Linked DNA regions of Rhinolophus ferrumequinum. The protein of the gene in region 3 interacts with the protein of the main gene of each other region in a pairwise test. Links are inferred from orthologs where the notes say so. Each region holds a gene or a part of one and is shown on either strand. Other genes may lie near its edges. The genes, in order: RAB33A, ZFYVE21, RABAC1 and NUDT18.

Evidence for each region.
Region 1: the proteins of RABAC1 (region 3) and RAB33A interact in binary tests that used the Homo sapiens proteins (3 or more experiments, as listed by UniProt). The two-hybrid records come from large-scale screens. The link is inferred for Rhinolophus ferrumequinum from reciprocal best matches to the Homo sapiens genes RABAC1 and RAB33A.
Region 2: the proteins of RABAC1 (region 3) and ZFYVE21 interact in binary tests that used the Homo sapiens proteins (3 or more experiments, as listed by UniProt). The two-hybrid records come from large-scale screens. The link is inferred for Rhinolophus ferrumequinum from reciprocal best matches to the Homo sapiens genes RABAC1 and ZFYVE21.
Region 4: the proteins of RABAC1 (region 3) and NUDT18 interact in binary tests that used the Homo sapiens proteins (3 or more experiments, as listed by UniProt). The two-hybrid records come from large-scale screens. The link is inferred for Rhinolophus ferrumequinum from reciprocal best matches to the Homo sapiens genes RABAC1 and NUDT18.

Annotation. Positions count from the first base shown.
Region 1 is NC_046284.1:25,857,619-25,865,389, reverse strand, and holds the start of RAB33A (ras-related protein Rab-33A), read left to right. Parts: upstream 1-4,766; 5' UTR 4,767-5,008; coding exon 5,009-5,278; intron 5,279-7,771.
Region 2 is NC_046289.1:1,588,811-1,596,590, reverse strand, and holds the start of ZFYVE21 (zinc finger FYVE domain-containing protein 21), read left to right. Parts: upstream 1-4,770; 5' UTR 4,771-4,824; coding exon 4,825-4,962; intron 4,963-5,457; exon of another isoform or gene 5,458-5,640; intron 5,641-7,780. Other genes in the region: DNA repair protein XRCC3, read right to left, coding at 396-608, 920-1,057, 2,825-2,879. UniProt on the Homo sapiens protein: Plays a role in cell adhesion, and thereby in cell motility which requires repeated formation and disassembly of focal adhesions.
Region 3 is NC_046298.1:39,928,436-39,935,425, reverse strand, and holds RABAC1 (prenylated Rab acceptor protein 1), read left to right. Parts: upstream 1-3,978; 5' UTR 3,979-4,114; coding exon 4,115-4,170; intron 4,171-4,490; coding exon 4,491-4,703; intron 4,704-5,009; coding exon 5,010-5,107; intron 5,108-6,101; coding exon 6,102-6,203; intron 6,204-6,286; coding exon 6,287-6,375; 3' UTR 6,376-6,528; downstream 6,529-6,990. UniProt on the Homo sapiens protein: General Rab protein regulator required for vesicle formation from the Golgi complex. May control vesicle docking and fusion by mediating the action of Rab GTPases to the SNARE complexes.
Region 4 is NC_046301.1:44,313,027-44,320,929, forward strand, and holds the start of NUDT18 (8-oxo-dGDP phosphatase NUDT18), read left to right. Parts: upstream 1-4,892; 5' UTR 4,893-5,007; coding exon 5,008-5,265; intron 5,266-6,102; coding exon 6,103-6,316; intron 6,317-6,542; coding exon 6,543-7,138; 3' UTR 7,139-7,903. UniProt on the Homo sapiens protein: Mediates the hydrolysis of oxidized nucleoside diphosphate derivatives. Hydrolyzes 8-oxo-7,8-dihydroguanine (8-oxo-Gua)-containing deoxyribo- and ribonucleoside diphosphates to the monophosphates. Hydrolyzes 8-oxo-dGDP and 8-oxo-GDP with the same efficiencies.

The DNA.
Region 1 (7,771 bases), on a different chromosome or scaffold from region 3:
CGACTTTGAAAAGCTGTCCAAGGAGGGACCCGTGGGGCTGATTTGCCTGGCTGTTTGTGGCGAGTGCTGCCGCTGTGTCGATGTTGGGAACTGATATTAATAGCACCTCAAAAAGCGTGGCCTCAGCACCAAATTTTGTTTTTCTGTTTTAGGCCACTAGCTACTACTAAGTACTAAGCCTTCCGGATTCTCTCTCTAGCTGTAGTCCACTTCCAGTCTTTCCATAGATTTGAGCCGGGGCTCCTGGCTTTCCAGATTCGGATTGGACTTCCGTCTTTTACAAATTGCCTTCCCATCCAACCCCTATTCTGGGCACTTTACCACTATTCTGGGGCATGTCTTCATTCCGCGCTCTCTTTTCCCATACCGCTTTTATATTGTGTAATTCTGAGTCCTAAGTGCTGTATCAGATGCTGTGGATAGTCTCTTGCTATTTTATTATGACTTCGTTTTTTGAGAGCAGGTGCTGGCAAAAAGCGTTCGTGCTTCACAGACTTTCTGCGAGAGAAAGCCTAAGCAGGACTTTCAGAGTTGTGGGAGGAGTAGGGTGCGGGGCTGAGTGTAAATAGGGGTTTTGGCTATCAAATATAAGCTAAATTGGAAATAAATTTTGGCTGTATGCAAAACATAACATATGCCTTTTTCAAAGTTTTGGTTTACATACTCACTTAACAAGTATTTATTGAGCACTTGCCATTTGGACTATATGAAAAGAGCTCTAGGGGATACGAAAAATATAGGAAGTGGTCACTGTCCAGGTGGGGAGATGACATACACTGGTCATTTTAAATAATAATATCTGATGTAGTGCAAGAGCAAGAAAAAAGAATATGAGATGAAATAGCTAAGGAAGGACTTCAAGCAAGAAGTATTACTTGAGCCTGTCTTGAAGGATGAGTAGTGAAATTCAAATAATGGAGGAGGAGAAATGATATTTCAGATGGTGAATACATTGGGACCGAAGGTAATATTTTTAGTGATTAAACACCATTGATTTTGGATCCAGTCTGCCCCAGGTTGAATCCTGGCTCTGCCACTTGGACAAGTCACTTAACGGTGTCTCACTTTCCTCATCTACCAATCTCACAGGGTTGATAAGAAAATTAAATGAGCTAATATTCATAAATAAAGCATCTTAGAGGAAGCACCATGCTGTTTAAATCAAAAGGCTTGGAAGTATAAAAGAAACAAAACCCAGCTCATTTTCAGGAGACAATGGCAGAGAGTACATACTAGGAAGTAAATGAGGACAGGTTAATATGGTGGAGCCAGATTTGAACTAGCCAAAGTGTTTGGCCGCAATCGTGTAGGTGATGACATTATTTTTGGCTTTCAGTAGAATAGGGATAGAGAACGAAATTACTAAGGCATTTCAGGAAGTTTAACCCAGAAAGCAGTCTTTACTCGGTGAAAATGATCCAGGGATCCCTTGCTCATTAAGAGTAATGTTCAGAAGTGCAGGCAGTGGGCAACTTTTCCCCTAGGGCTGCATTGGGGAATAAATATTGAAAATGTCAATTCCACAATAAGGTAAAAAAAATATTTATATTTAGTATTTTAAAAGTTTCACAGATGTTGATATTTCTTGCTATTTCTAAAAGCCAATAATAAACATGGATTGATTAAATAAAAAGTTAATCATATCTGTTGGTGGATGAGGCTTTGGAAAACACTGTCAAAATTATGATGATAAGGTACCTATGAAAACAACTGGGTAAATTTGAAAGACAGTCAATTGTGCATTTAATGATGCACAATTAACAAAGAAAAGGCATTGTACAGCACTTTTAACTTATTTTTGCAATAGGTGCAATGAGGTAGATTTCTTGTCCTTTTAATTAAAAATTATATTTCATCTTTTTTTGTAAAAGCAATATACACACATCAAAAACTAACTCCAAAAATATAAGTGGAAGTTCCCCAAAATCTCATCCCACAGAGGTAACAAACACTTTTTATTAGGAAATGGGGCCCACTTTGAGATATCAAGTCTCCAGAAATTAGTGTTTCTATCTTACAAATATAATGTGAACTCTCAGACTCAGTGATGAGTTTTTTGCTGGAAGCATATGCGGTCTGACAATTAAGTTCGCGAACTCATCCTAGAAAAAGTGCTACATACCTCATTGCTGAATATCACTATGGTCACCTTCGAAGTACTCCCCGTGGGAAGCTATGCACCCGACACCAGCGTCTAGTCCACCCTTCAAAGCAATTTTGGAACTCATTTTCTAGAATGGCCATCAGAGCTGTCCTCGTATTACCCTTGATGTCCTGAATGTCATCAAAATGTCTTCCTTTCCATATTTCCTTTATCTTTGGGTAAAAAAAGTAGTCATTGGGGGCCAGATCAGGTAAGTAGAGAGGGTGTTCCAATACAGTGATTTGTTTACTAGCTAAAAACTCCCTCATAGACAGTGTGCTGTGAGCTGGTGCATTGTGGTGATGTAAGAGCCTTGAGTTGTTGGCGAAAAGTTCAGGTTGTCTAACTTTTTCACGCAGCCTTTTCAGCACTTCCCGATAGTAAACTTGGTTAACTGTCCAGCTGGTACAAATTCATAATGTATTCATAAATAAAATAAAAAAATGTTAGCAACATCGTTGCAATAAGTTCACAAACTTAATTGTAAACCTAGTACATCTAAATAATCTTATGTGAATATAGTTTTTTTATATTAGAAAGTTAGCATTAAGTCTGGCTATAAATTGGCAAAGCTTCTTTCCGCTCTACCTGTTGGATATGCCTAATTCATAGTTACCTGCCCCCCTTTTAATAGCTGCTCTTCTGTAGATAATGATTACCAGGAGCATTAGCTTCAAATACAGACGACAATGATGCTGCAAACTATTATCTAGACATCAACCAATCATAAAAAACAAAAATACTGTACAATGGTGATTGCCATTCCCACTGTATAATGATAATTGGTATTCATAATGATGACCTTGGATTATCCAACTAAGATTAAATCCTTCTTGAGATGGTTTTAATATTGAATAGCATGATCTAGGGTTTTAGAAATGGGTAACCCACATATATGCTAAAAGAGTTAGCTATAAATATATCTGCTAACTCAACTAAAAAGCTTACCCTGTTTCCCCGAAAATAAGACTTAGTCAGACAATCAGCTCTAATGCGTCCTTTGGAGCAAAAATTAAAATAGGTCTTATGTTAATTTTTGCTCCAAAAGACACATTAGAGCTGATTGTCCGAGTAGGTCTTATTTTCGGGGAAACACTGTATAACTAGAAGACCCCATTTCCCCAGCCATTCTGAGTAACTTGGACTGGGCTGAGCAGTCATATTCCACTTTGTTTACAGACCTATCACTGATGCACTGAATTGTTTTTCTCACAGTGGGAATGGATTTAGTTATGTTTGTCTCTTCTGCAGCTGAGCCCCACACAAGTAAGATGGCAGCTCATGTGTCTTGCTGGAGTCCCTGACCTTGATGACATTAGCAAATAACTCATGTCAGTGCTACTGGCATATGTTAATATTACCTTAGCCTATGAAATATGTGGAAGGATGGTTCAAGTCTTAAAGCAAACACGAAAGTGGTGCACTTTATTGTGTGGAAATTGTACCTCAGTCAAGTTATTTTAAAGAAATTGTGAACCTGCAAATCACATTTGGGAAAGGGAATACTGGTCTTGACCAAGATGTGTGATGCTTAATAAGCTTGGGGAAGCTGCTCCCCACTACCAGAAGAAAGTTCTGTTCATTTATCATTTTCCAAGCATAATTTAGGCTTTTAACAAATTAGACCCAACCACTTTGTTCTACATTCAGTTGCAGAGGGGTGAACCCTCCTAGGGGTTTCCAATTCCTTTTGAAACTCCACCATTCTGGAAGGACTTATGATTACATGGAGGGCTCTGGAATGCAAGACGCTGTGAGATTTATGCCTTGTCCCAAGAGCCCTCCACCTGGGCTTGGAATGGTTAGCCCCAGAAACAAAGTCCCCTTTTGCTGGAGCTGCCACCACTAGCTTCCCCGCTTCTCCTACCCCCTGTATGGCTCCCTCCGGTGGCCGGCCTTCCCCATTGGCCAGTCAAACACAACTGACTGCCGCAGCCAATGGGAGCCGCTCTTCTGAACATTCAGAAGATGGGTGTTCCTGGTGTGATGAGGGAAGGTTGGCGCCTGGCACGCACCCCCCCACACACACATCTGGCAAGTCTGTGAGAGAAACAGTAACTCCCCCTACACATGCACACCGGTGCCCTGCAGCGTGTATTGGCGGCGCCCTCCCTGGCTCCTCGCGCGCGCGAGTGCACCTGCTTCCTCAATAAAACAGAGCATCCCTTTATCCCAAGGCTTGGGAGGAAGCTGCAGAGGCTCAGCTCAGCTGCCTGCAGCTCTGGAGGTGTCTCCTCCCCGCACCCAGTCCCCGCCGAGTAAAGTGGTGTTGCTCCGAGGCTGAAATGCTCCAGAGCGGACCCCCGTGCGCTCCGAGAAAATGGGGGTGGGGAGCCTGAGATCTATAAAATAAATGGGGTCATGGAGAAAGGAGGACCATCCCGGGGTGGTGTGTGCCGCTCTCCCCACCCTCCTTTCCTCTGTAAGCTTCCTCTTTGTGGTGTGTCCCTGGGGTCCAGACAGGGGAGGGTCTAGGCCAAGGCGCCACGGCAGCTGCAGCGGTGGAGGCGGGGTCGCACGCCCCACCCGCCCCTCCGAGGGCAAGGCTGAAGGAGAGGGCTCGTGCCTTGCAGTCTCTCTTCCATCTCTCCTCCCCTGACTGGCTTTTGTGTTGGTGCCTCCGAGCTGCGAGGAGGGTGCACTGGAGGAGGAGGAGGAGGAGGAAGAGGAGGAGGGGGACCTGGGGTGAAAGGCACCCCACGCGCGCGCGCGCGCACGGGGACGGCGCACGCACACACGCGCGGACACACTCACGGACACGCACACACACGCACAAAGCTCGCTCGCCTGGAGCGCACTAACGTGGCCGTTTTCTTTGTGTGGAGCCCACCAGGAGGGTTGGGGCCCCGGTCCGGTCCCTGGGAGATGGCGCAGCCCATCCTGGGCCATGGGAGCCTGCAGCCCACCTCGGCAGCTAGCCTGGCATCCCTGGAGCTTGACTCGTCGCTGGACCAGTACGTGCAGATTCGCATCTTCAAAATCATCGTTATTGGTGACTCCAACGTGGGCAAGACCTGCCTGACCTTCCGCTTCTGTGGGGGGACCTTCCCGGACAAGACTGAGGCCACCATCGGTGTGGACTTCAGGGAGAAGACCGTAGAAATCGAGGGCGAGAAGATCAAGGTGATCCAGACGGTCAGGTCCGGGAAGGGAGGGCTCTGGGAGGGGTCCTCGCCTGACGCATGCTCTAGTGGTTGTGAACGGTCTGGTCAGGTTCGTGGCTGCGTCGCTGCTTGCTGAGCCCTAGACCCTCAGCACCTCCTCATCCTCTTTCGCCTTTCTCAGCGGCCTGGTTCCCACCTTGCCCGTTTTTTTTTAGGGCAGGCCGGAGAGGGTGCATTCATGCCCTCTGTCCCTGCCTGACAGCTCCTGCCAGGAAAAGCATGTGAGATCCCATCCTTGACCCTGAGCCAGGAGCAGCGGCACCTGTGGGCAGAGGGAGGTATGAGGTAACCTGGTCCTGCTCTGTGGGGTGGATCCCAAAGCACTTTACACATCTTGAGGTCTCTTCTTCCTCTTGGGTGCCAATAGGGTGCAAAAACCCACTTTGGTTAAGCCCTGAGACATTACAGGGGAGGAAAGAATGGAAATCCACAGAGAATTACAGTTTATGGCTAAGATTATGGCTGAGCTGGAATAGGGGTGGAGTGGGGTGGTTCTGGCACAAAGTCATGAGCCCTTTTAAAGAAATTGAGACAGGGTCACCTGCCAGCCCTCCATAATAGACAAAACTTATTCTTTTGGAACAGTCCCCCTCAAATGATATCTTCTTTATTTGTCTGGGGTACCTAATGCCATTATTCATTCTATTGGTATTGTCTTCAGCAGGCCTTTGTAAAAATGCAGAGCAACTTCTCTGAGGGCCAAGGGAAGTAAGTGTCTTGCTCCTACCCTCTCGTTAGTTTGTGAGATCAGCTAAGTACAGATATTCTTGTCTGACCATTTGTACTCACTTTCAGTTCATCAACAGTGCAAACTCGATAGGACCAGGATATTTCAATGTGCAGAGGCTAGCGGGAGGGGGGACATGACAAGGGCAGCTTAATGTGTCAGGGGAACAGAGAGAGGCAGGGTTATGGGCAGGAAAGTCACTTCAAAAGACAGGGCACTAAAGACCAACTCCACTAGACCCACAACAGGCCTTTTCTTGAGCCTATGGTCAGACCCTGTCCTGCAAAGGTAAACCTCCCTCCTGCTGGTCAAACAGCTCAAATGACCACAGGCGTGAGGTGGAGAGAAGGGCTGAGTAACTGGGGAGAATGTGGAACATTGTAAACTGTACAGACTCCTTGATTATTAAAATGAACATGTTTTAAAATGGCTTCAGAAACCTGGCCAAGGCACTAGATATGTCAGGAAGATGGGCATTGCAGTACTGGTAAGGGAAAGTTCTCGAGAACAACGAAACCCCAGGGTCAGGAATATAGGACACTGTTTTGAAATAGTGATATTTCTTGCCTCTTACATTTTGGGGGGAATTCCTACATTTTCTTTTTAAAGTCAAAGTAAGTATCTGTCTTTTCTCCTTTCCCAGGGTTTTATGTTGACATTTCCTTGGTTAGAACTTTCTCTAGGGTGTCTAGCTTCTTTACGTAAAGTTGTAAGATTCTGGAATTTCTAAAGCATCCAAAGTAGAAATATACTTACGGCTGTGCTCTTAAGCACTCAAGACCCTTAAAATTTAATGCTATTGCCTGTTTAAAATCAAGTTTCACATTGAGCCAAACAGCTCTCTGGATTTAAGAGGGGAAATGAGTCCACCTGAAATGTACAGGGAGGAAAAAGGAAGTGTTTGGGAGTCTGGGGGAGAAGGAAGCTAGAAACTGGACAATGGGAGGTGAAAAACGAGTGGAAGAGGGTCATCACCCAGTGACCTCAGGGGAATTTTTAAAAGGTTCCTTCCCTTCCAACAGCCCAGTACCTAGCCAAACTGGATTTTGTAGTCTCTGCCAAAGATTCTGGACTTTTTCCCAGGGGGCAGTGCCTGTGACAGTGTGACTCACTAGAAACGGAGCTCAGCAGGACACCACGTGCAGAGAAGTGCTCAATACAGGTTTTTCAGAGGAAGGTGATATTTTCAACTTGGTGATATGAAGGAGCCCTCTGAGAGCAGATTCTGAAGGAGCTCAGGGTGGGATGTGGGTGTGGGGAGATGGGGACCCTGCCGCTTGTAAAGCTGCTGCAACTTCAGGGCCAAAGCCAGCAGGCAGGCCCAGCATGTCTGTGGGAAGATGGCAGAACATAGCAGCAAGCGCATGATCTAAGAAGATTTGGTCCCATACTCTGATGGCCTGGTGTTTCTCAAGGAACAAGTACCAAAACCATGCTAGGAGGTGACTGCCAAAGGCTTCTCCCTTTGGGGAAGAGAGAAAAGTCCAGTCTGACAGGCTGAGGTGGCCCTAGACCACAGCCAGCAATGAAAGGCTGTCAGGCTATAAAATGCCAGTCCTCGCAGGAAAATGGAGAGGGCTCAGTGAGCTCTTCTCTCAGTTCAAGAGTAGGGTGTGGCGTCTCCTGGGCTGCCTCCCTGTGCCCCAGAGTAGCACTATGTCAACCCCTACAGGGGGATGACTGATTTAGCATATTTGGGGCTACTCTCTTAATTACCAGTGCCATCCCTAGGGGTTT
Region 2 (7,780 bases), on a different chromosome or scaffold from region 3:
CCTTGAAAACCCCCTGTAACGCCAGGCCCAGCGGGTCTCATGGCACACACACCAGCTGGCAGGGAGCCCCGCACCACTGCCCTCGGACCTCACCTGCCCAACAGTTACAAGTGAAGAGCTGTCGCCCTGCACACGTGGCTCTGGGCCAAACGGCTTGCAAGCTGCTGCTGTGTGAACGCATGTCAGCCCCACAGTGCCTGGGACCACCTGCAGGTCCGTGTGGGGCAGGGGCTGGCCAGCAGGGCGCGGCTCCTAGAGGTCCCCTCACTCGCGAAGGAACCGCTAAGCGGAGTGAAGGCGAAGGCGGGGATGCGAACTGCAGGAACCCAACCCTGATGGAACACGGCCAAGAACACAGCTGACCCCTGCCCGCCGCCAACCTAGCAGCTACTCACCGGCCTCCAGGCCTCCGTGCTGCCGTGGGAACTGCACCGCCAGGCAGAGCTGCAGCGCCAGCTGGGTCTTCCCGGCCGAGCTGCGTCCCGCCAGCTCGGTGATGCCGTCGAGGGGCAGGCCGCCGCGGAGGAGCCCGTCCAGCACCGGGCAGCCCAGGCTCAGGCGCTGGTGCTGCGCGGGGAACCTCTCCTCCAGCCGGTGCAGGTCGAGGGCTGGGGAGGGCGGGGCGTCAGGCAGGTGGGCGGGGCCGGAGGGAGAGGCGGGACCGTGGCCCCTGCCAGCTACAGGGAGCCTGGGCTCCGCCTGATTGCCAACTCCCCCTGCTTCCTGTGCCCCTCGGCCTCGCCCTTCCCAGAACCCACCCACAGAGCGAGGGCCCTCAGCACGGCCCCATCCCCGTGCGGCCACCACGTCCCGCGGCTCCTCCTCGGTGCTGGCTGTGCACACGGCCCTCGGCTCCTGGCAGGGACGAGGGCTCCAGCTACGCCCAGCGCGCTGGCAGAGCAGACCTGTCCTTGCCCACCTGTGAACACACTGCGGCCCCGCAAGTGTGAGGAGGCTGTGCTCAGCAAGTACTGCACATCAGGGCTGGAGAGGCCGGTCAGTCTCTGCAAGTCCGGTCCAGAAAAATGCAAAACCTCCTTTATGGATTTCAGTTTGGCTGAAATTATACAAATAAATTACAGCACAAGGTCAGACTACAGTAAGGCCAGGCAACACAACAGTGACAAGAGGTGCGTTGTCTTCCAATTCTGGGGACCCGGTGGGCAGGGCTGGATCCACTGCTTCTTGAACCCCTGGGTAGAGTGTGATGATGACCGCAGGACAAGGAGGGAAAGGGCCTGGGGAAGGCCCACCCCTGAGCTGCAGCAGTGGGACCAGGTGGGCAGACAGCCTCTCCTAGGTGGCTACCCAGTCCCACGCCAGGAGACATCTGTCAGGAAGCCTGCACACCATGCACTAGAGGCTGAGCCGGGGTGGGGGTGAGTGGGGAACCACACACGAGGGAGGGGGTGCAGCAAGGAAAGCCACAACGATACCCATTGCACCAGCCGGTGGCGGGCACGGCGGGGTGGCCAGCAGGGCTAACAGAGAAAAGAACGTGTGAGTGTGACAGCGTCATGGGCACCGGCTGGGCCGGGGGCCGGGGGGAGGCGGAATATCACACTTAATACATCCAGAGGACCTGGTAATTTGGGAGGAGAGTCGATAAATTAATTTTGGGTTTGGGTAAAGAACATTACTTTCAAACTAGTAGAAAGAATAAAATGTCTGCTAAAACTATATCCAGCCAGGCCAGAAGGCAAAAAAGAGAAAACAACACACAAATAAAACAATACAAATAGCTTAACATAAATGGAGAGTTAAACCCACATTTATCAGGAATTACCTTAAGTACATATGCCCTGAATGTTCCAGTTAAAACACAAATGTGGTCAGACTGGATGAAAGGAAAATCAAAACTTCTGATACACTCTTTGAAAAAAGCAACAGCTAAGTAAGGGTGGACGAGCAGGGCTGAGACCCTGCCCCACGCAGGACATTGCCACACGCTGCAGCACCAACCCCCAGGTGGATCAACCAGCATCCTAATACGGAAGCATCCCTGACAACATGCCCTGGAGACAGAAGATGAAGGCCCCAGGACGTCAGCCGCACAGGGAGCTGGGGATGGACATGCCAGGAAGCAGAGTGGGTGAGCTGTCCCATCCTTTGAGCATTTAGAAAAGAGCCACTGTTTGACAAACTGACGGGAGGAGTTGGGAAAAATCAGTGAGAAGGACCCAGAGAACGCAGCATGTGAAAAAGGAGGCAACTACTAACTGGGGTGGGGGTGGGGGTGGGCGCGGGAAACAAAGGTGGTACAAGGAAAAAAACAGTCATAACCCCTTCTGGTTCCGAGATGGCCATTAGGTCCCCACTCACAACCCTGACATCTGGGATGACCCAAACTGTGTTCCAACTGTGGGGGTAGAGGTGGAGGAAGTAGGGGTACTTGTGGGGTACAAGCAGCCAGCCCTCACCCCGTATAGGAATCTGAGTAACTGGTGATACCCACACACTAAACACAGCAACGTAAGCACATTCTCTAGAAACCCAGATATAATTACAAAAAATTGCTAAAGGACTCACAAGTGGCGAGCAGTTACGGTTCACTTTTAGATGATATGCACATGTTAATTGGATGAAAATAAAATTAACTTTAAAATAGTCCTTTCAGTTAAACACACACACAACTAAACAGCCCGCACACGGTCCAGCATCAGTGAACCAATCAAGACCGACTGTCTCGGGGAAGAGTGAGCAAAGTGGGGACCGAGACAGGGACAGGCGACCTCGGTGACTTGTTTTACTTAAAGTGTATACACGTATGTACACCCACACAGGTACACACCTATTGCATATATGTAAGTACCAAGAAATATACCTTTCTTAATTGCAGCAATAATTCTGGGATTCAGATCCAGTTGATCCAAATCCATTTCTTCAGCGTGCTGACCACAAAGATGAGTAACTTCCCAGGGACAGAAATTCTGATGCACTTGCTGTCACCTCAGCGAGTGTAGCAGTGACAGCGGCCTGGTTCACCGGCAGCCTAGAGGTTGGAGGACAGATGTTACGTACCAGGAGTGCCACTGAGTTAAGTGTGAGACAGCACTCCTGTTGAGCGGTCCTTTGGTAACTCAGAAATCGTGGACTCAATCCACACACTGATGCACTCGAAGGCCCCCCCACCCCACCTACTGCATTCTGGTTGCCAGAGCACATGGCTGTCCCGTTTCGTGCCCTGCAGAGAGTGCCAGAAGTGAACATGAGCTCCAGCCCGAGTCCTGGCCCTGCCCTGACCCACCTGTCCTGGGCGAGGACGCTGTGTAAGTTGGAGATCCACGTGCACTGGGCTTACTCAGATGAAGTGTCCCTTGCATTCGCCACTTTAATTTCCCTTAAAAGTGTCTCCATGGGAATCTGGAAAGAGTGGAAAAAGTGAGTTTGGAATCTTGAAGGATGCTGAGGGGGTCGGAACCTCGGTGACCACCAAGCTGCCTCAATGAAGAACAACGCAGCCTGTGTCCAGCCAGGCCTTGCCCTCAGCCAGCCACGTGGGTGGCCTCCTCCAGGGGCCTGCTGGCTGCCGCAAACTCAACCCAGGGTCTCCCAGGAGCTTTCCTGCAAGCCACTCCGTAATCCCCTCACGGCCTCCCAAAACGGCAGGACACGCGAGGACCAAGACCAGCAGCCACTTGGGCCAAACCCAGGGTGACTGTCCACCCCAAGTCCCAGTGCTCTGCTGACTCGTGAAGTCCCAATATCTTGGCTGATGGGACGTACACAACTGAGGACTGTTCCTTGCGATGTTGAGAATACTATATGGACCTGGACAATATTAGGCTATTTTGAAGCTTCAAGAACCAGGTCTCCTGCACCCTCACACTCGCAGGGTCTGGTCTGGCACTGGCGAGGGTCGTGATGCCAAGAGCCTACAGTGCCGATTGGTCCAGACAGCTTGGGAGGCAGCTGCTGGGCAGGAGAGACTGGTCACTCACTACCCTGGATCCCGCCCTGTCTCCACCTCTAAAACACCACAACTTCACAGGGTCCTGGTTCACCTCTCACCCCACCGCCCCTAAACTACTGCCATAGACCAAACTGGCCCTGAAGCTGGGTGGCCTCTAAACCCTGCGGGGTGACAGCCCCGAGGATCAACCTTCTCACCCCGCTCACGAGTCCAGGCTGCACTGGCCCCAGGTTCCTTCCCACTGACAGGACCCCGCTAGGACCTACGCCCCAGCTGTCCCTCTGCCCGCCGTCCCGCGGGTGATGATCGCGGTTCAGGGCCTCGGGGGCCCGGGGCTTCAGTGACCCGCGGCCCCGCCGTCCCCCTCGGGCCCCCGCAGGGGTCCCCACTTGCCCTCGCCTGGCTTCCACTGTGCCCAAGGCCACTCCGGTGTTCAACCCTCCCCCACCTCCCACCCTCCGCTCCCCACGTTCCCTTGCTCCTACCCCGGCCCCTCCGAACTGCCACCTCTCCCACCTCGCGCGTTTCACTATTCACGCCGTCCCGCCCCTCAAACCTCCTCTTCCAATGAGTGCTAGGCGCCCCGAGCCAGATACGCCAATCAGAGAGGAAGTAGCGGCTACGTCACAGACTAACTGGCCAATCCAAAGTCTCAATCGCCCCTAGAGGGGCGGAGCGTGCCCGGGCCCGCCCTCACTGACGATTGGCGATTGCCCTCCGGTTGGCAGAGGTGGTGCCCTTGCACAGATTGGAGAGCGCAGCAACGGGGCGGAGCCCTGGCGCCGATTGGCTCGCATTCCTGGCTGGGCTTGGCGATTGGGTGCGGGCGCCGTCAGCCGCACGAGCGGGGCGGGGCTTCTGGCGGGGCGAGGGCCCGTGTGAGGGCGGCGGGCGATCGCTGAGGCGGCGTAATGTCCTCCGAGGTGGCCGCACGCAGCGATGCCAAGAAGCTGGTGCGCTCGCCCAGCGGCCTGCGCATGGTGCCCGAGCACCGGGCCTTCGGCAGCCCATTCGGCCTGGAGGAGCCGCAGTGGGTTCCGGACAAGGAGGTAAGTCGCGGCCGCCCGCCAGACCTGCGTCCGCGCCCCAGGACCCCGTCGGCGCCCAGCGCCCCTCCGGTCCGCGCCCCGGGACCTCGCCCCCAGCCCTGGCTCGGAATCTTCGTCCGCTCCCCACGACCCCTGTCCGCGCCCCGGGCTCGCCCTGTCTCTCGGACGCCCCTCCCCAGCCCGACCCACCCTCTGCTCTTTGCTGGCCTCCTCTGGCCCCAGCTGCCCTCCCCGGGGCCCCTCACGGCCTCCCTCGCGCACCTCTGCTCCGCGCCACTGGGCTCCTGCTGCCCGCGCTCGGCCCCGCCCGGGGCCTTGGGCACTCTGCCTTCTGCCTGGTTCCCTCTCTAGGGGCTCCGGTGTCCCCCACCTCCCCGCCTCTAAGTTTCTGTGCCGCTCGCACGGACCTCCCTTCCTGATGTGCCCCAGGCTTTGCCCACCGGGAGGTCACTTGTGAATTGCACGACCTCGGGGGCAGCGGAGCCTCGTATTCATTTATCGTACAGACCTCTCTGCTGGGGTTCTCCGGGTGAGTGGACGTGGTGGCGGGTGGCGAGTGATGTTGGCGCAGAGTCGGGTTGGAGTCGGAGTCTCCAGGTGGCGAGCAGAAGCGCGTCCGGCGCGGGGAGCTGCACCTGCTTGCAACGGCAGGAGCAGCTGAGGCTGCGAGAAGTTGGGGTAGGGAGGCCTCGAGCTGCCCTGTTGGCGGGGTGGGCGCGGCACCTTCTGAAGGCCCTTTTGTGTCCTGCCAGGGACTTGGGACTCCATCCCATAAGTCAGTAATTGTCAGCGCGAAGCCAGGCAGAGGAGTTCATGCATTCCTGTAAATCGGAGATGTCTAAAAGACATCCAAGTGCCGTGATTTTTTGAAATTAAATGAATTGGGGTAACATTGGTTAATAACATGATATAAATTTCATGTGTACAACTTTACAGTATGAATATCTGTGTACCCTGCTGTGTACTCACCGCGGGAAGTCTGGTCTCCTTCCCTCACCATGTATTTGGCCCCCTTTACCCTCGTCGTCCTCCCCCACCCCCCTTTCCCTCTGCTAAACACCATTCTGTTGTCTGTGTCTATGAGCTTGTGTGTTTGTTTTGTTTGTTCCTTGTTTCATATCCCACATTAGTGTGACCCCATCAAAGTGCTGTGATTTTTTTTTTGAAGTTCTTTAACTTACAACCCCGTTAGTATTGGATGGACTGCTTTTCCTCTCCGGAGAATCACTGTTACAGGTGGCAGGTTTTCAGCGGAGGATTGAAATCAGGTGTTTTAATGCAGTGGGCGGAGAAGTGCCTGCAGCTGGAGGCAGGGCAACCCGGAGGAGGACACAGCCGCCCAGCCCTGCCCCTTGGTCGCTTTCTGATGCCAGCCCTGGCCCTCCGCCTGTAGATGGCAGCTGCCTCTGAGTTGAGAGAGGCCAGCACACAGGGAGGGTCGGAGTCGCCCTGGACACGAGGCAGTCGTTGGGGTGTGGGTGGTCACTGAGCAGGGCTGGCCACGGCCTCCCTGGGTTTCTTCTCCCCGTTGACGCATTTTTCTACATTTCTGCCCTTGGCACTTGTACTCTTTGAACACACAGGATGTAACTTACCTCACATCCCCTCCCTAGTTAGTGCTATTAAAAGATAATCAAAGGGAAAAAAGGCAAGAGCGTGACTCTTGTCCTCATAAATGAATATGTCACCAAGTTCCCTTAACTGTTGCAGTGAGGGAGCCGGGCAGATGTTATCGGGTCAAGGAGAAGTCGAGAGAGCTCAAAATGACATGGGAGGAGGCCGGTGAATGACTGCGAAGATAGAGGCCAATTGGTCTCTTCCATCATGGGAAAGGGGGCCCCAGGACCTTGGGGGGGGGAACGGGACAGGCTGCATATCTGTAGGTATCTGCAGTTGACCCGGAAGTCACCTGGAGGGCGTCACCCACAGGCCAGGCCAGTGAGTCACAGCATTTTTCCATCATTACCCACTCCCCCAGGAGCCTCTTTAGACATTTTTTCTCCATTTGATCCCCCCATGAAATTTTCAGCCAGGTGTGCTGCGCAGCTGCGTGGGCCTGCACGTGTGTGTGGGAGCACACATGGTCGCTCAGCCCTTTGGGTGTTTCCTAAAAGAATTTTCATGTTTCCCTGCATAGTTGCCTTTCTTGGTGGGCCTTGGGTGTGGAAGTCAGCGCTGAGGTGTGTCCCAAGCCCAGGCTGTCTTGAGAACTCTTGTGAGATTCTGATAAAGTTGGGTTGAAATGCTTGAATCTGTGGCACACCCTCCTTCACGGAAGTCTCATTCCAGTGTTGGCAGGGTGTCCCTCGAGAACCCCCGCCCCGCCTGTTAGAACTATGAATAACGGGGGTCTGAACAGCCAAGGAAAGCCCTAGGAGCCCAGTGAGCTTGGAGGAGGGGGACCTAGTGAGGGTGGACGACTTCTCTGGGTTTGAGGAAGTATATTTTAAAACATATTGGGGCATGGTCCTAGAGTCCAGAAATAACCAGAGTGTTCTGGAGGAAAAGAAACTTGGAATGGAGCAGTTTGGGCTGGAGATCAGAATCAAGTCTGGCCTTCATTGGCCAGCTCACGGGGAGGGTGTGGCACACGTACTGGGGGACTCGCCGAGCGACACTATTAGCTGCCCTCTGCCGTCCAGTGTTCCCAGGACGCTAGGATCAGTGTGTGTGGGGAGGTGACTCCCGCATGGACAGACCCACAGGGAGAAACAGGTTTATTTGTGGTGCTTGGGAACAGGCGGGGCGAATTGGGTAGGACATGGCATTCTGAGCTTCCGCCCACTGTCCCCCCACTTCTTTGCTGTGCAGATTAGTG
Region 3 (6,990 bases):
AGAGGAAGGGACTCAGACTCGTGATGCTCGCATATTGGAGGAGGAGAAGGAGCATGGGGGGGTGATGACAGTGCCGACCGTGATGATGGTGACAGTGGCGACTGAACCGTCCGTTCTGTGCCCTGCCCTCTTCTAAGCCCTCTGTGTGTATCAGCTCATGTAATCCTCACGGTTGGGAGGCACAGAGAGGGAAAGTGACTTGCTCAAATTCACACAGCTGAGAGGCGACAAATCTGGGATTTGTACCTGGCTGTCCAAGTTCTAAGTCACTGTGCAATTTTCTCTTTTTATTGAGATAAACTTTCATACCAGGAAGTGCACAAATCTCAAAGGCGTACCGTGTAACCACCACCCAGATCAATATAGAGCATTTCCATCCACCCAGAAGGTTCCCTTATGCCTCTTTCTAGTCAGCGCCACCCCCCCCAAAAGCCACAGCTGATCTGATGTGTGTCACCATCCTTTAGCTGTGCCTGTTCTTGGACTTTGTATAAATGAAAACTTACAGCATGTTGTCTCGTGTCTGACTTCTCGTTCTCAACATCGCGTTTGTGACAAACACCCATGTATGTAGCTGTCACATGTATGTAGCCCACTCATTTTCATTGCTGTGTGTGGCTATAACATAATTTCTTCATCCATTCTCCCGTTGATAGACATTTCACTTGTTTGCACTTTGGGGGCTATTACAATTGGTGCTGCTCGGAATAGGAACATTCTAGTAATGACAGATGTATGCATCTCTGTTGGATACATGCCTAGGAGTGGGGTTGCTGGTTTTGGGATGGACTATGTTTAACAGAAATAGCTAGACCCTTTCCAAAGATGCTGTATCCTTCTGCATTCCCACACTGCATGAAAGAAAGTTCCAGTTGCTCCACTTCCTTATCAACATTCAATATTGTCAGACTTTTGAATTTTAGCCATTCTGGTTGGGTAGCTACACCACTTCCCTTGAGGCAGCCTTGTTAATACAGCCCAGAGGTGAGAGTCAGGAGGGGCTGGGGCTGGCATCCCGAGAGCTCACAAGTGTGGGTGAGTGTGTACACACGTCCACTGCACAAGACAATGGCTGGAGGAGGAGTGCCTGAACCTGAGGGGGCAGTTAGTCAAAGGGCAGGGGCATGTGTGCCAGGCACTACTCATGATGCCCAGGACACAGCCTGCCTGGTCCTGGTAGGGGTTATGTGAGCCTGGACCTCTTCAAGGGAGGCCTCAGAAACTATTCATAGGGTACAGGGTAAGAAATGCTCCCATAGACAAGTGGGCAATCAGTGGCCCAGAGAAGGCAGGGACTTCCTTGAGGTCACACAGCAAGGATATAACCCAGGTTTCTGGTTGTCTATGCTAGGGTCTTCTTCTCCTCCCAGCTCTTCTTCCTCTGGTGATCCAAGAGATAGGAAGGAGGCCTCAGGCTGGAGGGACTACAGGGCCGGGGCCCATCTCTCATAGTTTTCTCCGGTACCCCCTTACCTCCCATCTTCCCCCTGGTTCAGGCCCACCTGTCACAGGTCCCCTCTCTCACGGACCCCATCTCCCACCAGCCTCTTGTCTGAGGGATCCTCCCATATCTCACAATATCTCTACCTTAGGGCCCCTTCTTCCACAATCCCTGTTTCAAGGGCTTCTCTCCCACATTGTCTGTGGGACAAGGCCCCAACTCTCCAAATCCCCTGATTTAAAGTTCCCTCCATACTCCACTCAGGGGGCCCCTCCCACAATGTCCTTGCCTCTGGACCCCACCATCCATGGCCCATGCTGTTCGACACCTCCAGACCTTTGCCCATTATGTCCTCTGCTCAGAGCAAGTACTGGTGGGGTATGGAGTACAACCATTTTCACTGAGTTCCTATAAGGAAATCCAATAGCTCTCATAACAAAAATCAAACCCAACTTTCCCAAGGTTGGCCATGGGAGGAAGCAGCTGGACCTGTGCCTTCAACTCTCTGCTCCCCAAGATTCATCTTCTTCTTGGGGGCTCTTTCACTGGTGACCTCTGAACTCAGGTGCTGCTCCCCCATTAATGCTCTGAGCTAAGTGTGCACTCGCCATCCGCCATTTATTTCCTGAAGCCAAGCTGGACCCAAGTGGGAAACCTGAACAAGACTATTAAAAGTCTGTGTCTGACAAACGGGAAATAAACAGTAATGAGCCAACTGATCTTCAAAGTGTAGTTCATTCAGCTTCAGCTTGGGACTTCCCAAGGGTCCTCCCTGCTTATTGCTCCACCAGCCCTTTTAGCAGGGGCCACCTACCCCACCTCCTGGGAATGTCGCAGGCCTCAAAGCCCAAATCTAAAAGGGATGTGAACCTTGGAAGACAAAAACTGGGGTTAAGGGTTGCCTGGATATCCCATGTGGGACTTCTTCTTCAGCCCAACCCAGCCTTGGAAAATTAGGCCCTCGGTCCATGAAAGGGAGCACAGGCTTCCCAACACTGCCACACACATTCTTGAGGATTTTCTGTGCACCCCTTTAGAATGCCAGTCATTTTCCTGCAACTCGGTGGCAAGGGCAGGGGCAAAGACGGAAAAACCAGTGCTGTGGGAACTAGGGAAAAGAAAGGCCCCGGCCTGAGATGCCAGCCACTCTGGGGCATTCCCTGATACAGGCCAACAGCCCCTAATACATTACTGTTAAACTCGAGAAGGCTGAACTCTGAAATAGTCGTAACATTCATGATAATATAGTAGCAATAACACCCACTCCCATTTATCGAGCAGTTGCAAAGTATCGAGACTCTTTCAAGCACTTTACTGGGACCATGTAACTGAATCGTCCTAACACCTCGAGTGTGGTACCATCAGGATCCTCACTGTCTAGATGAAGACACTGAGGTTCAGGGAGGTGACAAGGTCAACACAGCCTGGATTTTCATTAAAAAATTCTCTTTTAAATGTCCTCAACCCTTTTCCTTTCCCAACTTCCCTTCTTCCCATCCAAGGGGAAGGGGAAGGGTGTCTCTAGGTTTCTAGTCCTAAACCATTTATCCCTGAGAGCCCAAGGATTGAGCAGGGAGCTTTGCAGCAACCATGGCCCTCTCGCTAGCCTGTCTCTTGAGGAAGGAATAGATTCCCACGAATTCTCTAGAGTCTCACTATTCAAAATATGGTCCATACACCAGCAGCAGCAGCATCACCTAGGTACTTATTAAAAATGCCTATCTAGGGGCCGGCCCGGTGGCTCAGGCAGTTAGAGCTCCATGCTCCTAACTCCGAAGGCTGCCGGTTGTATTCCCACATGGGCCAGTGGGCTCTCAACCACAAGGTTGCTGGTTCAACTCCTGGAGTCCCGCAAGGGATGGTGGGCTCCACCCCCTGCAACTAGGATTGAACACAGCACCTTTAGCTGAGCTGCCGCTGAGCTCCCGGATGGCTCAGTTGTTTGGAGCGCGTCCTCTCAACCACAAGGTTGCAGGTTCAACTTCTACAGGGGATGGTGGGCTGCGCCCCCTGCAACTAGCAATGGCAACTGGACCTGGAGCTGAGCTGCGTCCTCCACAAGTAAGACTGAAAGGACAACAACTTGACTTGGATAAAGTCCTGGAAGTACACACTGTTCCCCAATAAAGTCCTATTCCCCTTCTCCAATTAAAAAAAATGCCTATCCATAAATGGGCCCCACCCCATATCTGCTAAATCAGAATTTTTATCTAGTGTTTTATCAAGCTCTCCAGGTGTTTCTTATGCCCTCTAGAGCCCGAAGGACAGCTCTACACGGTCCCCATTGTACACTGCACAAGAGAGAATACCTAACACTTGCTTTCGCCTTTAGAGCTCCTATAAAGCCCACTCGTGACAACCCACCTTCCGCGACGCCACACGCCCGGCTACTGAAACTACAACTCCCACAATACCCAGAGGCGCTCATTGTCGCTTTATGTGACTACATTTCCCGAATGTGTTTTGCTAGCCAGACCACCATCATGGCGCCCACCCTTCCCGACAGCATCAGGACTACAACTCCCACAGTGCTCCGCGACAGAACTCCCGCCCCCCACGGCTTCCGAAAGGCGCCACGTCCGCTGAGCTGGTTGCGGCCCAGCTCTTGCGGGTCCCGAGGGGTCTGAGGGGCTCAGGGCTCGTTACAGCTGTTCTACCCCTCACGACGCAGACATGGCGGCGGAGAAGGACCAACAGAAGGATGCCGAGGCGGAAGGGCTGAGCGCCACGTAAGCAAGCCTACTCTAGCTCCCAGGACTGAGACCCGGCAGTTCTGGTCCTCTGCCCCCTTCTCCCTCGGGTCCCAGGAATCTGGATCCCCAGAGACTAGAGTCTAGGCCCCTGGCTTCCTCTTCGAGGACTCTGGAGCCTGGGCCCTCGGCCCCCTCTTCCCCTGGGATCCAGGAGCCTCAGACCCTTACCCCTCCCTCCCCCGTCCCCCCCATCCTGCACACCCGCAGAACCCCGGGGTTTGGGTTCCTGCATCCCCGCTCTTGCTGGAGGCCCCGCCTCGGTCTTGATCTACCGCTGACCTGGCCCCGCCCACCAGGACCCTGCTGCCGAAACTGATCCCATCCGGCGCGGGCCGTGAGTGGCTGGAGCGGCACCGCGCGACCATCCGGCCCTGGGGCACCTTCGTGGACCAGCGGCGCTTCTCGAGGCCCCGCAACCTGGGCGAGCTGTGTCAGCGCCTTGTACGCAACGTGGAGTACTACCAGAGCAACTATGTGTTCGTGTTCCTGGGCCTCATCCTGTACTGCGTGTGAGTGCCGCCTCTCCGCCCGCCCCCGCCCCAACCAAGTGGCACTGGTCGGCCCCGCCCTCAGCGGCCAGCCCCTTCTCTCCCTGGCCAGGCACCGTCCCCATGGGATAGCTCTGCCAGACTCCCCGAAGGGCCAGGTCTCCCCCATCAGCTTGAGCAGGACCCAGTGTGACCAAATGTCACCTGAACTTGCCTGGTCTCAAGGACATACATAGCCTGTCATCCGCCGGTGTAGAAGTTCAGGGTCTGTCCCCCTGGCAGTGCCAGCCGCAGCTGCCTGACGAATGCTTCCCTGCCCTCTTCCAGGATGACGTCCCCCATGCTGCTGGTGGCTCTGGCCGTCTTCTTTGGTGCCTGTTACATCCTCTATCTGCGCACGTTGCAGTCGAAGTTTGTGCTCTTTGGTGAGAAATCCCCTGCCCAGATGCATCCGTGATCCTTCAAATTCTGGTCTCTTGGAACAAAAGCCTTACATCCCACACCTAAGTCTTCCTAAACCCCCAAACTTGGTCCCTTAAAATCTCACATGCGCCAGATAATGCCACCCAGCCTCAGCCACCCAAATTGCTATTCCCCAAACCTAGAATGAGAGCCCCCGGGGCTCATTCTCCTCCTGGATGCTGTCCCTTAAATCTACTCCTCCCCTCTCTCCCTGACTTGTACAGAAAGCGTCAGCTGCAGGTATCCATAGTAGACAGCAGGTGGCGATCTTACACTGGCCCAGATCTGTCCCACGCCTCTGTCCTGCTTCCTGGGTGGGACCAGAAAGATCTTGGGACTTCTCACAGAGGGAAGCTGAGGCCTGTGGCCCATATGGTCCCAGACTGGCACCAAACATTCCCCACCTAGAGCAAGCTCAATGTTTGGAGTGAGGACAGGGAGGAATTGGGATCAGATAAGCAGGTAGTCCTGATACAGTCCTTCAACGGCCTGCAAGTTACGTACATGACAGAGATAGGCTGGTGGACAGGCCTGGTGGGCAAGCACAGGGCATGGAGGGAGCTCCTCAAGCACAGTCACTACCTGGCTTCAGCCGCTGCAGCCCCCTCGGGCCTGCAGACCCAATTTTACTCTGCCACAAGAAACCAGAAATCTATTGTTAGGTGAAATCATTCAGTTTCTCTGTTAGCCACTAATCACATTCTTGGGGAATATTGTACAGACTTAAAAAAAAACTTCCACAGGTCAGACTTGGCCTTGGGCCACCAGTCTGAGACTCCTGGCGGACCGTGGGGACATTGGAGAAATGGGTGGGGCCAGGACTTGGAGGACCTTGGCATGAGTTTGGATGATCCTAAAGCTCCCAAAAGCTTGTGACATCAGACTGTTGGGGGCATCCGGGATTACTCTGGGAGAGGACACACGTGTCAACAACTGCCCCACGCTGTCTGCCCCCAGGCCGAGAGGTGAGCCCTGCCCATCAGTATGCGCTTGCTGGGTCCGTCTCCTTTCCCTTCTTCTGGCTGGCTGGTGCAGGTTCTGCTGTCTTCTGGGTCCTGGGTGAGTACAGGGGCTGGGTAGCGGGGGTGGGTGGTGGGGGCCAGGTGAGGGAGCAAGGCCCTGAACTGTCCATTTTCTTGCAGGAGCCACCCTCGTGGTCATTGGCTCCCATGCCGCCTTCCACCAGATCGAGGCCGTGGACGGGGAAGAGCTGCAGATGGAGCCGGTGTGAGGTGTCCAGCCTCCCGAGCCAGCTGCCCCATCCCTGTTCACCCCTGTCCCGCACGGCTCTGCTGCTCCAACCAACAGCCCTCTTCCCATCACAAGTCCAGGGAGGGAACCAGCTTTGGAAATAAAGCTGTTGTAGTTGTCATTCAGCACATAAGCTCCCAGGATCTGTGGGTCTGTGCGGGGTAATGCTGGGGTACTGGAACAGAGGGGGACACACGGTGAGGGGAAGACAGTAACTAAATAACTAAAATAGGATGGCAATGGTGGTGAGTGCCAAGGAGGAGAAAAGAGTTGTGGAAGGAAACTGTGCCAGGGGTCCCCAGGGCCAGCCCCCTGTTTGATGATTTGCTAAGAGGACTCAGTATACAGTTGGACTCATAGCTGTGTTTTATTATGAAAGGATACAAAGCAGAATCAGCAAGAGAAAAAGGTACATCGGAAATCAAGAGGAAGTCAGGCATGAGCATTCCAGAGTCCTCTCCCAGCAGTCACATAGGACGTGCTTACGTCCTCCAGCAGTGAGTTGTGACAACGTGTGAAATGTCTGCCAGGGAAGCTCATTAGAGATTCAGTGCCCAGGCTTTTTATTGGGGGTTAGCCGCAAAAGTACCCTCCA
Region 4 (7,903 bases), on a different chromosome or scaffold from region 3:
GCCCAGGCTTGGCTGGAGGGGATGATAGTGGTGAGGGCCTGTCCTGCTCCCTTCTCTCACCTCCCTCCTTCTTATGTTCCATTAAAGTCTGTTGTTTTGTGAAAGCTGCCAGTGTGGTTGGCCCTGCTCCTGCAGGCCACATGGGGGGCGGGGGGGACATGGAAATGCAACAGGGTGGGCAGGAGCTGAGGCCCTCGTGACAGGAGCCTCAAATACCCTTGCCTGCTCTTCCCTGGACCTGGCCCTCCCACCCCCCAACTTTCCAAAGAGCAGATGGAACCTTCCAAAGGGCTGCTCCTGAGGATATTCCTGGCAGCAACAAGGCAGAGACTGAGGGTGCAGCAGCAATGTGGCTTGGAGCCCCAACCCTCCCCCAATACTCCAGGCTCCCCCATCTCTCCTGTCTGACCTGACCTGAAGCTCCGGGAGTTGCCCAGGAGAGTCCTCCCCCTGGGCTTGGCCTGCTGCCTGAGACAGTTGGCAGCCCCGTCCCATCCCCAGGGCCCTCTGGTGTGGCTCTGCTGCTCTCCTGCCCTAGTACATCTCAGCCCCGACATGCTCCCGCTCGTCATACCTAATTGTTCTGTGGTGGTTCGGGAAATGGTGTTTTTTTTTATGAAATAAAATTTTTTATTATAAATTTAATATACTTTCAGAACATTCAGAAAATAAGACAAAGTCCCCTCTAAGCCCTCCACCACTCACCCCCCAACCCAACCACGGATAGTATTTTGGTGTATTTCCTTCTAGTATTTTCTCCACGGGTCTGTTTTACACATAGTTGAATTGGTGTGCTTTGTACTTGGTTTCTTTCTTTTAACACTATTGTGATCATTTTCTATGTCGATACCTAACCTTCATTTTAAACAGCTGCTTACATTCCCCAAAGTGGCTGTGCCATGATTTACATAATCGTCCCTCATTTAAAAAAAAAAAAAAGTTGTTTCTTCATTGTTTGCAAAGCTGGGTTTTCATTTTTTCATGGGATAGAAAAAAAATTAAGGAACTGCCACACTTTATGGTGTCAGTTTTCATTTAACTGATCTCATTTCATCCCTTACCACAATTTTTATGTAGATATTATTTATTTCCATTATATAGAAGAGGAAACAGGCTAGGGATAAGGGAGTTACCCAAGGTCACACTGCAATTTAGTGGCAGAATTGGGATTTGAACGAAGTGTCCTGACTCCGGCTGCCTCATTTACATTATAGTCTTAGCACTCAATGGCCTTTGCAGATGGGCTTACTGTCGTCTCTGTCCTCCTTCCAACATAAGCACGTTAGAGCTCATCATGTTCCAAGTAGCAATGAGTGACCCATGTCTACCTACACTTCACCTTACATAGCTGTGTCCTGATGTCACCCCAGGACCCCAAACACGGAGTCTTTCCTGTGGGAAGATGGGGATGGCCCTGTCACTAGGCCTGTTTCTTCCCCCACAGACCTCTCTGTCACCTCCCCTTCCGTGGTAGGTCACGGCACTCTCCAAGGACATAGTGGGTCTGACTCCTTGCAAACACAGGTGGGCCAAATGTCCCAGGACTGGACCAGGGATGAAGCCAGTCCAGGTGGGGACCGGTCCAGAGACTCAGCGTGAAGCATTCAGTGGCCCTCTTCCCCAAGGTGGCTCAGCGGGCTCCCCTCTCAGTCTAGCCCTGCCCTTTTGGCCTCTGCTGCTCCCAGCAACCTCCTCCAGCCCCTCTCACTGGCCCAGTCGGCACAGAGGCACAGCCCTCAAAGCTGGAAATGACCTCAGGTGTGTAGACCAAATGCCAAGTTTTTCTTATAAAGTACACTATTTTAGATTTTTAATTTTGAAACGACTGTAGATTTACAGTTGAGTCACAAAGATAGGACAGTTTCCAGTTACTCTTCATCCAGCTTCCTCTCATGTTGACACGGTACATAATCAAAACTAAGAAATTAATTTCGATACAACACTATTAACTAAGCAATAGACTTTATTGGGATTTGTCACGCAGGGTCTCAGCTCCTGCTCCCCGCACAAGAACGCGGGATATGGTGAGGCCAAAAAGGAACAACGGAGCCATAGATAGGGGCGTCATACCACTATATTCTCGCTGGCAGCTGGGTTGGAGGCACAGGAAGCAGGAGCCACACGATCCGCAACCTGCCGTCTGCTTCTCTGTCAACCAACCAATCAACCAGCTTAGCCACGGCAGTTATATCAGTGGCCAATGGCTAACCGGTAACAGCTGATGGCCATCTGATCACAGCTGATGGCCGTCTACTATCTGAGCCAGCACCTTTCCACATGAGGTCAAGAGCAGGAAACTGCTCTCTGGGACTCAGTCCCCACAGAATTCCACCAGTTTTCCACTAATGTCTGTTCTGTTTCAGGATGCACCTGAGCCTGCATCATACAGATGGCCTAGACGATAGATGTGGCTCCCCCAAGGTCATTCAGCAAGCCAGTGGCAGAATGCAGGCTGAAGCTTCCTCCTCCCTATACCTGGGGCTACTGTCCTCCTTGCCCTTCCCACTTTGACAAGGGACAGGGCTGGCTGCTCTGTGAATGAATCTAGCGTCACAGACACCCTTGCCCCACCCTTCCCGCCCATCCCTGTCCCTGTTTCCGAGGTTGCCTCCATCACCTTCCTGTGCACGTGCTTACAAGCACACTCAGGTCTACATGCCCTGAGTTGGCTGGCTCAGCCTTCGCTCCTGTGGGTCCTGTACTGTGTGACACTCTTGCCCACCACCCCCACCAGTCAGTGCTCTTCCCTCTCTGGGAATAGAGGGCGCAGAGCAAACTGGATGGAGACCTTTCTTTGTTTCTGGTTCTGTCGGTTTCTATCTCAGCACCCCCTCCCTGCCTCCGCTTTTCCCATTCTGTCTCAGGGCCTCTCCTGCCTCAGTCTAATGTGTGCTCTCCTTCTCCCAAAGCCTTGAAAAAGTGTATTTCCTGTTGTCTCCCTCCGCTCTCCGGAAGGGCTGGTACACCCCCTCGAGGGCCTTGCCTATGCCGCCCTTCACAGTTTACAAGCGACTTTCACGTTGCCTCATGTGCTTCTCACCACAAGGTGATTAGGTCCACTTCACAGGAGTGCTTTTCCCAGTGATAATGGGGGGAGTGGAGCCAGGGTTTGTTGCAGTCTTTGCTGTTCCAGGCAGTCAGGCCGTCTGGTGTTTATCTTAGGCTGCCTCTGAGGCTTTCAGAGCCCTGCCCAGACATGACCTCATTCTCTCTCAAATCATCCCCGGGAGGCAAAAAGGAGTCTGAGACCCATACTGTTCCCACTTCACAGATGGGAAAACCGGAGGATAAACACACACACACACACACACACACACACACACCAACTACGTTGACAAGTTGCTCTGCAGTCCTGGAGTCCCGACTCTCGGTCCCGTCATTCAGTTGTTTGGGAGGTGAGATGTTTAGGGCTGGAGGGCAGCAGTATTCACCAAGTGCCTCAAAAGATTGCAGGCCCACTGGGGATCCCCCACAGACTAATATAGGGCCCTACCTCCAGGGAATTCACAGGCACTTCAGTTTGTGAGAAGGGCCTACAGAGGCCATCTGGTGCAGCTGGAATTCCTTAGTAAAAGCTAGTTCCGAGGTGGCCTGGGGGCACATTTCATGAATGTGGGCCTTTGTGTGGTAGTAGGAGAGCCCAGCAAGGGGGTTGGTGGGCTGCCTGGTGATGGTGACCTATGCTGGATTGCCCACGGAGCTCCTCCCATGGCGTCTCACCTTCCCAACAGTGTGAAGGAACAGTTGTTGTGAGCCTATTCTACAGATGAGGAAACTGAGGCCCACACCTTTTCCAGGGACACAGAGCCAGCCAGTAAGCAGAGGCCTGGTATCTGGCTCCAAGTCCAATGCTTCGTCTGATCCAACAAGCCACTGTCCCCTCAGGTGCACTAAGCCAGCAGGAGGAAAAGGGAAGACCTAACTGAGGATGAGGAGCCCCGACTTGGCTGGCTTCACAGTTTCACTCCAGCTGGCCCTGCCGTCCTGTCCTGAGAGGAGGTTAAAGGAACCTCTGAGGAGGAAAGGTCAAGCTGGGAGAGAAGCAGGAGCTAGCCAACACCCACACCCTACTCTCAATGGGGCTGCCTGAGCCAGCTGGGTGGGGGGGCAACAAAGGTGAAGGAGCACGGCTCAGTCTGCACGGAGAGGGCCCTGCAACTATGTGGGAAATGGCGTGGGCAGTGGGTCGGGACACTGGTGAGGGCTCTGCCTGCCTATCCCCGGCCCTCTCTCTGCCCCAGCTCCCCTCCTCCCGTCATCAGGCGCACCTTGGCCATCCCAGTTCTGCTCTCTCCCTGCTCTGAGCACCGTCACACCTCCGGCCCAAACCAATCATTTAGCACTTGTCTTATAACACTGAGTTGACTGTTTTTTTAAACATGTCTATGTCTACGTTCCCAACTAGATCAGAATCTCCTTCAAGGCAAGAGCTCTCTTCCTCCCTTCCCCCCACTACGGTGACATTCAGTACATTTTTAGTGAAAACGGGGGTTATTGGGGGGAAGTGATCGTTTCGGGCAAAGCAGTGGTATGTTTATGACCAAAGCTGGACAGTGGGTCCCGGCCTCGCCCCGGGCCTCCGTGACGTTATCGGTGTTGTTGTGATGCTACCGTCGCTGGCCACTGTGGCTCTCCGCAGCCTGCAGGCAGGATGACGTACCCGTTCGAAACCGGTGCGGACTTGCGCGCGATGGAGAAATCAGCAAGGCTGGCGGCTAGAGGTGCCGGGAGAGGGCGAAGAGGAAGGAACCCTTAGAGAAGCCGAAGCGGGCGGGGCCGCACGACGCGGTGACCAGCGCGAGCCAGCCAATCCGGGCAGGCCGCGGGGACGCGCAGCCTATCAGTGGCTGGGACTTGGCCGGCGCTTCCTCGTTCGCGAGCACGCCCGGCGCGAGTCGGCGGGGGAGGGGACGAGGGCCAGGGTGACGCACCACCGGCTGCACCGCCTTGCACCCCACCCGACTCGGCGGGTCTGCGGGGCACGGCCGCCGCCTCCCAAGGGACTGGATGGCCTCGGAAGACCTGGCGGTGGAGCTGGCAGCGGTGCTGGGGGGCCGGGGACTGTGTGTGCAGAGTTGTGACTCGGAGCCGGCCGAGGAGCCGCCGGCGCCCGTGCGGCTGCGGAGGAACGTCTGCTACGTGGTGCTGGCCGTGTGCCTCAACGAGCAGGTGAGCGTCCGCCCGCCGGCTCTCCGCCCGGGTCCCGGAGCGCGCAGCCAGCCCCGTGGGGACAGACGACCTACCGGCAGCAGCCACCGCTTCTTGGTGGGTGGCGCGTTCCAGTTTTGCAAAGCACTTTCACTTCACACTGACACCTGAGCCTTGTGCGGCCCAGCCCTACGATTGTCCGACGAACAGAGGAGGAAACCGAGGCCAGGAGCCTTTGTCTCATCCCACTAGGCCTCAGTTCCTTGAGGGGGGATTGTTTTATTCCTCTTCCTTTCCCCAGAATTTAGTATAGCGTCCGCCGCCGCGGAGTGGACTCTCATAAAGATCTGTCCAGTGCTGCAGAGACCTCCCCTGAATTCCACGGACAGTAATGGCACAACTTGCGCTTACGCTCAGACCCACTCACCCCTGTGTGATGCTCTTTTTGGTGCTGATCCTTGTACAAATTGCTGTAACAACAGTTAGAAGGGACCGGGACCATAGGTAGGAGTTGTATAGTGTGTGGGGTGGGGGCATGTTTCAACCGCAGACTTCAGTGTGAGGACGGGCCACAAGCAGTTTTTAAACCATGAGGGGAGGTGAGAGAGACAGTGACATATGCAGACAGTGCAGGACACATGGCACCTCCCCTTGTGGGGCCTGATTCCCTGTCCTTGAAGCAACTCCCGGGAATCTTAGCCGCTTTCTGAAATGGAAGTCCAAATGCAAAAGGATGAATTGCAGAGAGGGGCATCTGCAACTGGCAGCCACAGAAGAGCCAGTCCCCAGGAGAGCTCAAGAGGTTGAAGGTGTCCACCAGTAAGGGGGTACCGGGCGACTGTGTTTGAGATTTCTGTCCCCAAGGCACAGGAAGGCTTCCGGCTGTGTTCCTCCTTTGGAACACAGGCTTCCAGCCTGGCTGTGTGGGGGTGAGGATCCTCTCTCTCCCCTCAGGATGAGGTGCTACTGATCCAGGAGGCCAAGAAAGAATGCCACGGGTCATGGTACCTACCCGCGGGGAGGATGGAGCCCAGGGAGACCATCGTGGAGGCTTTACAGCGGGAGATGAAGGAGGAGGCCGGGCTGCACTGTGAGCCTCTGACATTGCTGTCTGTGGAGGAGAGGGGCCCCTCCTGGATCCGCTTCGTGTTCCTCGCTCGCCCAACAGGTACAGCCCACCTGGTGGCACTGTGGGCATGGGGCAATCGACACCTTTCCCCCAGCTTGACCTCCCGTGAGATGAGCCCCTTTTGTGGCTGGTACAAGCCTGGCATCTCCATATTTCAGTCTGAGGGTCAGAGCTAGAATGCCTGGGTGGCTATCAACTCTGCCAGGCCCGGCACTTCTCTCAACACGGACCCTTTCCCCCACCCTGTCCCCCACCGCTCCCCCAGGTGGAGTTCTCAAGACTTCCAAGGAGGCAGATGCGGAGTCCCTGCAGGCTGGCTGGTACCCACGAACCTCCCTGCCCACTCCGCTGCGAGCCCTTGACATTCTGCCCCTGGTGGAGCTGGCCGCCCAGTACTGCCGGCAGGCCAGGCACCCTCTTGTTCTGCCCCAAGAGCTTCCCTGCACTGTGGTCTGCCAGCGGCTTGTGGCCACCTTTACCAGTGTCCAGACAGTGTGGGTGTTGGTGGGCAAAGGGGGGGTACCTCACTTGCCCATCTCGGCCTGTGGCTTTACCCCTGTGGAGCAGAGGGGTGGACTCAAGATGGCCATCCTGCGGCTCTTGCAGGAGTGTCTGACCCTGCACCACTTGACAGTGGAGACCAAGGGGTTGCTTGGACTGCAGCACCTGGGCAAAGACCATACAGATGGCATCTGCCTCAATGTTCTGGTGACAGTGGCTTTTCGGAACCCAGGTATCCAAAATGAGCCCCCGAAGGTTCAGGGTGAGAACTTCTTTTGGTGGAAAGTGATGGAGGAAGACCTACAAAGCCAGCTCTTACAGAGGCTTCAGGAATCATCTGTCGTCCCCCTCAATAGATAGGAAGGTGCCATCAGTGAGCAAGGAGGTGGGTGCCTGTGCTCCCTCCACCGCGGTTTTGCCTCCTTCTGAGGAAGGCAGGTTAGCAATCAGGGATCTTTTCACATTGGGAGCAGGGCAGTTCTCCTGCTCAGGGGGACTTCCATCGCCCCTCGCTGTGGAGCAGGTCCCTCCATTGTACCAAAAGGGACAGTGCCTTTTACCAAGCAAGGAGTCCAGAGCTCAAGAACCCAGTTGCCCAGAGGTATGAGGGCACCGCTCCCTAAGGGGATGCAAGAACTTTCTGAACCTGAGATGGCATCTTATCATTTTCCACGCCTACTCCTCCTTTGGTAAAGGCCTAAATTCAGATTCTCAGGCACTTAGAACATGGGGTGCTGTGGGAGGTCACTCCAAGGAAATGGTCCCCTTGCTGAATAAATAGGTGTTGCTTACTTTACCTTCCCACCTAAATGTCTCTGTGGGGAGGAAGTGAGCAGGAAGGGGGGACTGCCCTCAGAGGAGAAGTTCCTCCCCTTGTACCACTGACAGCCACCCACGCCATCTTAGACAGCAAGCTGACGCTGTAGGGGCCAGTCTGCCGGGTAAGGGGTGACTGAAGCAGGCAGGTTTCCTGCTGTCTGTGTCCTCCACGGCTTGTGTTGGGCCCACTGGGGCCCTCTTCCTCTTGCCTGCCACGGTAGGAAGTGACCGTATCCCCATCAAGGTTTGAGCAGTGAGAACACCAGGGAAGCTCCAGGTGGGCAAGGAGCTGTGAGAGCTTCCGTC